Linked DNA regions of Xenopus tropicalis. The protein of the gene in region 1 interacts with the protein of each later gene in a pairwise test. Links are inferred from orthologs where the notes say so. Each region holds a gene or a part of one and is shown on either strand. Other genes may lie near its edges. The genes, in order: plekha5 and pdzd11.

Region 1 (4,307 bases):
GCTTCTCTCACAAGGCTGTACCCCAAGCAGTGCCCCCCAGCTGTCTCTCACAAGGCTGTACCCCCAGTTCAGTGCCCCCCAGCTGTCTCTCACAAGGCTTTACCCCAGTCAGTGCCCCCCAGCTGTCTCTCACAAGGCTTACCCCCAGTCAGTGCCCCCCAGCTGTCTCTCACAAGGCTGTACCCCAGTCAGTGCCCCCAGCTGTCTCTCACAAGCTGTCCCCAGTCAGTGCCCCCCAGCTGTCTCTCACAAGGCTGTACCCCCAGTCAGTGCCCCCCAGCTGTCTCTCACAAGGCTGTACCCCAGTCAGTGCCCCCAGCTGTCTCTCACAAGGCTGTACCCCAGTCAGTGCCCCCCAGCTGTCTCTCACAAGGCTGTACCCCCAGTCAGTGCCCCCCAGCTGTCTCTCACAAGGCTGTACCCCAGTCAGTGCCCCCCAGCTGTCTCACACAAGGCTGTACCCCAGTCAGTGCCCCCCAGCTGTCTCTCACAAGGCTGTACCCCCAGTCAGTGCCCCCCAGCTGTCTCTCACAAGGCTGTACCCCCAGTCAGTGCCCCAGCTGTCTCTCACAAGGCTGTACCCCCAGTCAGTGCCCCCCAGCTGTCTCTCACAAGGCTGTACCCCCAGTCAGTGCCCCCCAGCTGTCTCTCACAAGGCTGTTCCCCCAGTCAGTGCCCCCCAGCTGTCTCCACAAGGCTGTACCCCCAGTCAGTGCCCCAGCTGTCTCTCACAAGGCTGTACCCCAGTCAGTGCCCCCAGCTGTCTCTCACAAGGCTGTACCCCCAGTCAGTGCCCCAGCTGTCTCTCACAAGGCTGTACCCCCAGTCAGTGCCCCCAGCTGTCTCTCACAAGGCTGTACCCCAGTCAGTGCCCCCCAGCTGTCTCTCACAAGGCTGTACCCCCAGTCAGTGCCCCCAGCTGTCTCTCACAAGGCTGTACCCCAGTTCAGTGCCCCCCAGCTGTCTCTCACAAGGCTGTACCCCCAGTCAGTGCCCCCCCAGCTGTCTCTCACAAGGCTGTACCCCCAGTCAGTTGCCCCCCAGCTGTCTCTCACAAGGCTGTACCCAGTCAGTGCCCCCAGCTGTCTCTCACAAGGCTGTACCCCAGTCAGTGCCCCCAGCTGTCTCTCACAAGGCTGTACCCCCAGTCAGTGCCCCCAGCTGTCTCTCACAAGGCTGTACCCCCAGTCAGTGCCCCCAGCTGTCTCTCACAAGGCTTGTCCCCAGTCAGTGCCCCCCAGCTGTCTCTCACAAGGCTGTACCCCCAGTCAGTGCCCCCAGCTGTCTCTCACAAGGCTGTACCCCCAGTCAGTGCCGCTCTCCCCTCAGACAGCGCTTCTCTCTCAGTATCCGGGACCCTAGGGGAGGGGGCGGGGCTGGGCAGTGCGCGTCCCTGTAGGCTGCAGCTGATTGGGTTGCAGTGAGCGCGCAGGGAGGGGGCGGGGCGAGAGTGCGAGTGGAAGGGAGAGTAGTGCCCGGTGCGCGCTCCCGCTGCTGACACAAATGGCGGCCCCGGACTGGCTCCCCTCCCTGCCGGGCTCCTGGCGCTTCGGCATCTCCCGGGGGGGCCGCGTATTCTTTATCAAGTAAGTGTGAGTGTGAGTGTGAGTGTGAGTGTGAGTGTGAGTGTGAGTGTGAGGCACGGGCTGGGCCTGGGGTACCGGGGGGGGAGACTCACACTCACCTGCACTCACTGCCCCACTCACCCCTATCTACTCCCTGTGTCCCACTCACCCCTATCTACTCCCTGTGCCCCACTCACCCCTATCTACTCCCTGTGTCCCACTCACCCCTATCTACTCCCTGTGCCCCACTCACCCCTATCTACTCCCTGTGCCCCACTCACCCCTATCTACTCCCTGTGCCCCACTCACCCCTATCTACTCCCTGTGCCCCACTCACCCCTATCTACTCCCTGTGCCCCACTCACCCCTATCTACTCTCCTGCTGCCCCCCACTCACCCCTATCTACTCCCTGTGTCCCACTCACCCCTATCTACTCCCTGTGCCCCACTCACCCCTATCTACTCCTGGCCCCACTCACCCCTATCTACTCCCTGTGTCCCACTCACCCCTATCTACTCCCTGTGCCCCACTCACCCCTATCTACTCCCTGTGTCCCACTCACCCCTATCTACTCCCTGTGCCCCACTCACCCCTATCTACTCCCTGTGCCCCACTCACCCCTATCTACTCCCTGTGCCCCACTCTACCCCTATCTACTCCCTGTGCCCCACTCACCCTATCTACTCCCTGTGCCCCACTCACCCCTATCTACTCCCTGTGCCCCACTCACCCCTATCTACTCCCTGTGCCCCACTCACCCCTATCTACTCCCTGTGCCCCACTCACCCCTATCTACTCCCTGTGCCCCACTCACCCCTATCTACTCCCTGTGCCCCACTCACCCCTATCTACTCCCTGTGCCCCACTCACCCCTATCTACTCCCTGTGTCCCACTCACCCCTATCTACTCCCTGTGCCCCACTCACCCCTATCTACTCCCTGTGCCCCACTCACCCCTATCTACTCCCTGTGCCCCACTCACCCCTATCTACTCCCTGTGCCCCACTCACCCCTATCTACTCCCTGTGCCCCACTCACCCCTATGCCCCGCTCACCCCTATCTACTCCCTGTGCCCCACTCACCCCTATCTACTCCCTGAGCCCCACTCACCCCTATCTACTCCCTGTGCCCCACTCACTCCTATCTACTCCCTGTGTCCCACTCACCCCTATCTACTCCCTGTGCCCCACTCACTCCTATCTACTCCCTGTGTCCCACTCACCCCTATCTACTCCCTTGCCCCACTCACCCCTATCTACTCCCTGTGTCCCACTCACCCCTATCTACTCCCTGTGCCCCACTCACTCCTATCTACTCCCTGTGTCCCACTCACCCCTATCTACTCCCTGTGCCCCACTCACCCCTATCTACTCCCTGTGTCCCACTCACCCCTATCTACTCCCTGTGCCCCACTCACTCTATCTACTCCCCTGTGTACCCACTCACCCCTATCTACTCCCTGTGCCCCACTCAACCCTATCTACTCCCTGTGTCCCACTCACCCCTATCTACTCCCTGTGCCCCACTCACTCCATCTACTCCCTGTCCCACTCACCCCTATCTACTCCCTGTGCCCCACCACCCCATCTACTCCCTGTGCCCCACTCACCCCATCTACTCCCTGTGCCCCACTCACCCCCATCTACTCCCTGTGCCCCACTCACCCCTATCTACTCCCTGTGCCCCACTCACCCCTATCTACTCCCTGTGCCCCACTCACCCCTATCTACTCCCTGTGCCCCACTCACCCCTATCTACTCCCTGTGCCCCACTCACCCCCATCTACTCCCTGTGCCCCACTCACCCCTATCTACTCCTGTGCCCCACTCACCCCTATCTACTCCCTGTGTCCCACTCACCCCTATCTACTCCCTGTGCCCCACTCACCCCCATCTACTCCCTGTGCCCCACTCACCCCTATCTACTCCCTGTGTCCCACTCACCCCTATCTACTCCCTGTGCCCCACTCACCCCTATCTACTCCCTGTGCCCCACTCACCCCTATCTACTCCCTGTGCCCCACTCACCCCTATCTACTCCCTGTGCCCCACTCACCCCTATCTACTCCCTGTGCCCCACTCACCCCTATCTACTCCCTGTGCCCCACTCACCCCTATCTACTCCCTGTGCCCCACTCACCCCCATCTACTCCCTGTGCCCCACTCACCCCTATCTACTCCCTGTGCCCACTCACCCCTATCTACTCCCTGTGCCCCACTCACCCCTATCTACTCCCTGTGTCCCACTCACCCCTATCTACTCCCTGTGCCCCACTCACCCCTATCTACTCCCTGTGCCCCACTCACCCCCTATCTACTCCCTGTGCCCCACTCACCTGAGTCACACTCACCCCTATCTACTCCCTGTGCCCCACTCACCCCTATCTACTCCCTGTGCCCCACTCACCCCTATCTACTCCCTGTGCCCCACTCACCTGAGTCACACTCACCCCTATCTACTCCCTGTGCCCCACTCACCCCTATCTACTCCCTGTGCCCCACTCACCCCTATCTACTCCCTGTGCCCCACTCACCCCATCTACTCCCTGTGCCCCACTCACCCCTATCTACTCCCTGTGCCCCACTCACCCCTATCTACTCCCTGTGCCCCACTCACCTGAGTCACACTCACCCCTATCTACTCCCTGTGCCCCACTCACCCCTATCTACTCCCTTTGCCCCAGCTCACCCCTATCTACTCCCTGTGCCCCACTCACCCCTATCTACTCCCTGCTGCCCCC
Region 2 (4,518 bases), on another chromosome or scaffold:
AATAGAAACAAATAAAAAGTAGTCACATTAAAGATTGAGTGCTAAATGTCAGAGACACTAGAAAGCAAAACCCTGCCTCATAGAGCTTACAATCTAATACAGGGATCCCCAACCTTTTATACCTGTAAGCCACATTCAAATGTAGAAAGTGTTGGAGGGCAACACAAGCATGAAAAAAGGTTCATGGGGGTAACAAGAAGACCTATAATTGGCTACTTAATAGCCCCTATGTGGACTGGCAGCCTACAGAAGGCTCAGTTTAGCATTATACTTGGTTTTTATGCCTCCAAAACTTGCCTCATTATCAGAAATTAAAAAATGAGCACCTGCTTTGAGGCCTCTGGGAGCAACATCCAAGGGGTTGGGGAACAACATGTTGCTCACGAGCCACTGGTTGGGGATCACTGATCTAATACAACCACAGATGGAGAGCTTCTTGCTACCCTCACCATGTATATGGATTCTTCCACCTCCCCCAGCCTCAAATACACACAATTATAAACCAGTATTTGGTGGAATCCCAGCACTTTCTGCACTACTCCGATCCGGCCAGATTTTGGATGCAGCATTCAGCCACATTTACTGCGAAGCGGTTTTGCACATTACAAGTTCCCTACACTGCCCATTAATAGAAAGTGAGAATAAAAGGCAACACAATTCCTTTGGCCCCCAAGTCCACCTTCCCCCCTGCACAATGTAGTGGTAGATTCCTAGGGACCTATAAGACTTTCATTTATTAGCAATCAGTATTAAGGCACATAAAGGAGGAAGAGTATAGATTGATAGAATCAGCTTTATTTACAGAAGGTTGCAGGGAACCCTGCTACATAGACTGAATTCTAGAATGGAAGACATGGAAAGAAAGATGCCACTGCAGTCTAGCTGAGCTGATCGCCAGTCTAGGTGTCACTGAACTACAGCTCCCATCACACCGTGTAAGAGCTCAGCAGCTAACGGAGCAGCAGGCTGTAAGCCCCAGCTGATGAATGACAAAGTAACAGACGGTGCGCCTTGTATCATTCATATTGCCCTCAGCTCACTGCCAGGGAGTCGCTCCATGGCTACCCCAGGCGGCTTTTCGCAGAAGACGCAAACGTTGAAAAAAGCGAAAATGGGCGTGTCTGTATCAGACCAGTCATGGGAATGAGCTGCCGCCGTGACGGAGAAATACAGAATAAGCCAATACTTACACAGCCGTACCGCGCCCCGTTCGCTCCACAGCCCCATGAAGCTCATTCCCAGCGCACAGAGTTTGGCTCCTTGTTAACGTCACTAGCAATTCGAACCTAGCGCCTTCCCTAGTGCGCATGCGCAAACTTCCCATTTCCGGGAAGGATTATGACTAGCGGCTGAACTGAAAACGAGGCTACCATTCATTTTGGAACGCAAGCTTAAATTAAATCTAAATAGCTTATTGGGCATGCGTCTTTGCCGACATGTTTATTGAGGGCAGCGGTGGAAAGATAACCTGCTGATACCGGAAAAACTTCGTACTCTATGTTAGGAATGGAAGGCCGCCCCAATTATGATGAATACCCATATCCAGTGGTCTTTCTGCCTCCTTACGAGAATCCACCAGCATGGATCCCCCCGCAGGAGGTAATCTTACTGCTCACTTTACGGTCACAAGCTTGATATATGCTGCAGTGTTGCTGAACTACGTTCGGTGTTTATTTCAGGGAAAAAACACTATGCAAGAGAATGCAATTCTAACCAGTTTTCCAATATACATTATTTATACATGTTCATTGAGATAAAGTTATTTGTAAATATAATTGCTACTAATAAGCAATGTCTGTCTGGCTGTTTATAGTTATTGTTCTGACTCATGATACTGTATGGCAGAAGCTAGCGAATTAACAGCTGTTTTCTGGAACATTGTTTTAGGCTAATGTCCCACGGAGAGATTAGTCGCTGCCATTTTTAAAAAGCGAGTTACAGCTACAAGTCGATCGCTTTGTCTCTACATAGAGAAGAATAGAAATCGCCAGTTATAATCCACTTCGAATCGCTTTATTGAGTGATTTGACAAAGAAAACATTGTCATTCAAAACTATTGGAATTGCTAAAGGTAAAACCTACTGAGCAGGAAGTCGCTGCGATTTCCCCATTGCACTGAATGTAATTTCTAATTGTGGGCGGGTAAAATGACACCTGGATTTGTGGGAAATAGAATCGCTCTGTTGTTGAAATCTCTAGTAATCGGTTGTTAGGAAAAGACAAGCAGCTTGTCGCTGGAACTCGCTTTTTAAAAATCGCAGCCACTAAATCTCCCCATGGGACATTAGCATTAGTCAGAACCAGTGAAGAGAAAGGAATAAACATTTACTTTTTCATCAGCAATAACCTTTACAAAGAATGTTAGAACCACAGAAATTTTAAATGAATGTATATTGGAAAGTTGCTTGGAAATATATTTTCTTTGTGAGTGCATAGAGCCAATCAGTTGTGCTGTGCAGAATTGTGGGCTGTGGAATTGTGAGTCAGGCAATCAGTAGATTCTGGCAAATGCCAGAGGGGCTGCTGTAAGATGCTATAGGCCAGTGATCCCCAACCAGTGGCTCGTGAGCAACATGTTGCTCCCCAACCCCTTGGATGTTGCTCCCAGTGGCCTCAAAGCAGCTGCTTATTTTTGAATTACTGACTTGGGGGCAAGTTTTGGTCGCATAAAGCCCAATGTAAAGCCAAACAGAGCCTCCTGTAGGCTGCCAGTCCACATAGGGGCTACCAAATAGCCAATAAGAGTCCTTATTTGCACCCCCAGGAAATTTTTCCATGCTTGTGTTGCTCCCCAACACTTTTTCCATTTGAATGTGGCTCACGGGTAAAAAAGGTTGGGGATCCCTGCCATAGGCAGTCACTGTTTATTGCAGTTGTCCCCAACCAGTGGCTCGTGAGCAATATGTGACACATTGGGCTACTAAATAACCAATTACGGCTTTTATTAGCCTTTATTAGTCACCCCGAGTGTCTTTTTTTCATGCCTGTGTTGCTCTCCGACTTTTTTTCTATTTAAATGTTGCTCATGGGTAAAAAAGGTTGGGGAAAATCGATCATTCCAAGAAAATGGAAATCTATAGACCCCCCACTATTCACAGAATGGCTAACCAACACAGAGGATATTAGGCAAATGGAGGAAATAACCTTCATGATACACAATAAAAGTCACCACTATAGGAAAATATGGACCCCCTGGATAGACTATCTAAGATCACTATAAAACATCATCAAAAAACAGCCATCTACATAGGGCACTCTAGAAGTAAGATTTACAAGTTATAGACAATTGAATACTTACTGGAAAATGTAGACATGACTTGATGACGGCTTGCCTGAAAATGAAACTGTACAACAATGTAAAGACTAACATTTGCAATGTTCCCCTCCCTACCCCTCCCTTTTTTCCTTATGTACCCCCTCCCCATATTTACAAAATGATAAATAAAGAATTTAAAAAAAAAAAAAAAGGTTGGGGACCCCTGGTTTAATGGGTTAGTGAGAGAGTTTTGGCCTCAGTCTTGACCTGTTCTGAGCAATGAAAGGGTCACCAGTTGCAGCTGTTAAATAAATGTTATAATCTTGCAGGCACTGTTAGCAACCATACCTGTGTATTTATACGGTGAAACTTTGTAAGAGTAATATGACATTAGGCATAAGAATGGCTACCCAGCACAGTACAGTGAGGTGTTCTGGATTATATCTGCCTTTTTAGCCTTGTTTACAATACAGAGTGGTGTTTACTATAAATAGATCTGTTCATGTACAATAATCAGATGTAAAATAATAACTTTTTACAACTCATTCTAAAGGTGGCCATACACGCACCGATAATATCGTACGAAACCTCGTTTCTTACGATATTCGGTACGTGTATGGTATGTCGGCGAGTTGACCGATATCGCAGGAAGCTGCTGATATCGGCCGACTCGCCGATCGAACCAGTTTGAAAATTTTGATTGGGCGCCATAGAAGGCGCCTGACCAAAATCTCCCTTCAGAGCTGAATCGGCAGAAGGAGGTAGAAATCCTATTGTTTCTACCTCCTTACCTGCCGATTCAGCCCTGAATGGTGTGTGGCGGATCTGACGATGTTTTGTGCGACCGATGTATGGCCAGCTTAAGTCTTCAGTGCATTTGGCATGTTCAGCCCTCAAAAAGGCTTATTCATTAAACTGCACTGCAACCTCAGGGAACTGTAAAATGAATTGCAGATATCCTTATCATTTACTAATGTGGCACCAGGGAGTTTCACTCTGCTTTATTACAGGATTATGTCAAACAGGAGCAACAGTTGTAGTAGAATTAAAAGGTCCTTGCTTTCAAGTGATTGTTGGGATCATTTTTTTTTTCTTGTTTTTACTCACAGAGAGTTTATAACCCAGATTACAATAATGAACTGACAAATTTTCTCCCTCGGACGATTCTTTTGAAGAAGCCACCTGGAGCACAGGTAAGCAACTTATTTAAGGGGAAAAGGTAAACAGTAGATTTGAATAGAATAAAATCATCATAAACTACT

The links.
Region 2: the proteins of plekha5 (region 1) and pdzd11 interact in binary tests that used the Homo sapiens proteins (3 or more experiments, as listed by UniProt). The two-hybrid records come from large-scale screens. The link is inferred for Xenopus tropicalis from reciprocal best matches to the Homo sapiens genes PLEKHA5 and PDZD11.

What each region holds. Positions count from the first base shown.
Region 1 is NC_030679.2:663,971-668,277, forward strand, and holds the start of plekha5 (pleckstrin homology domain-containing family A member 5), read left to right. Parts: upstream 1-1,422; 5' UTR 1,423-1,503; coding exon 1,504-1,586; intron 1,587-4,307.
Region 2 is NC_030684.2:38,884,148-38,888,665, reverse strand, and holds the start of pdzd11 (PDZ domain-containing protein 11), read left to right. Parts: upstream 1-1,458; 5' UTR 1,459-1,506; coding exon 1,507-1,599; intron 1,600-4,365; coding exon 4,366-4,449; intron 4,450-4,518. UniProt on the Homo sapiens protein: Mediates docking of ADAM10 to zonula adherens by interacting with PLEKHA7 which is required for PLEKHA7 to interact with the ADAM10-binding protein TSPAN33.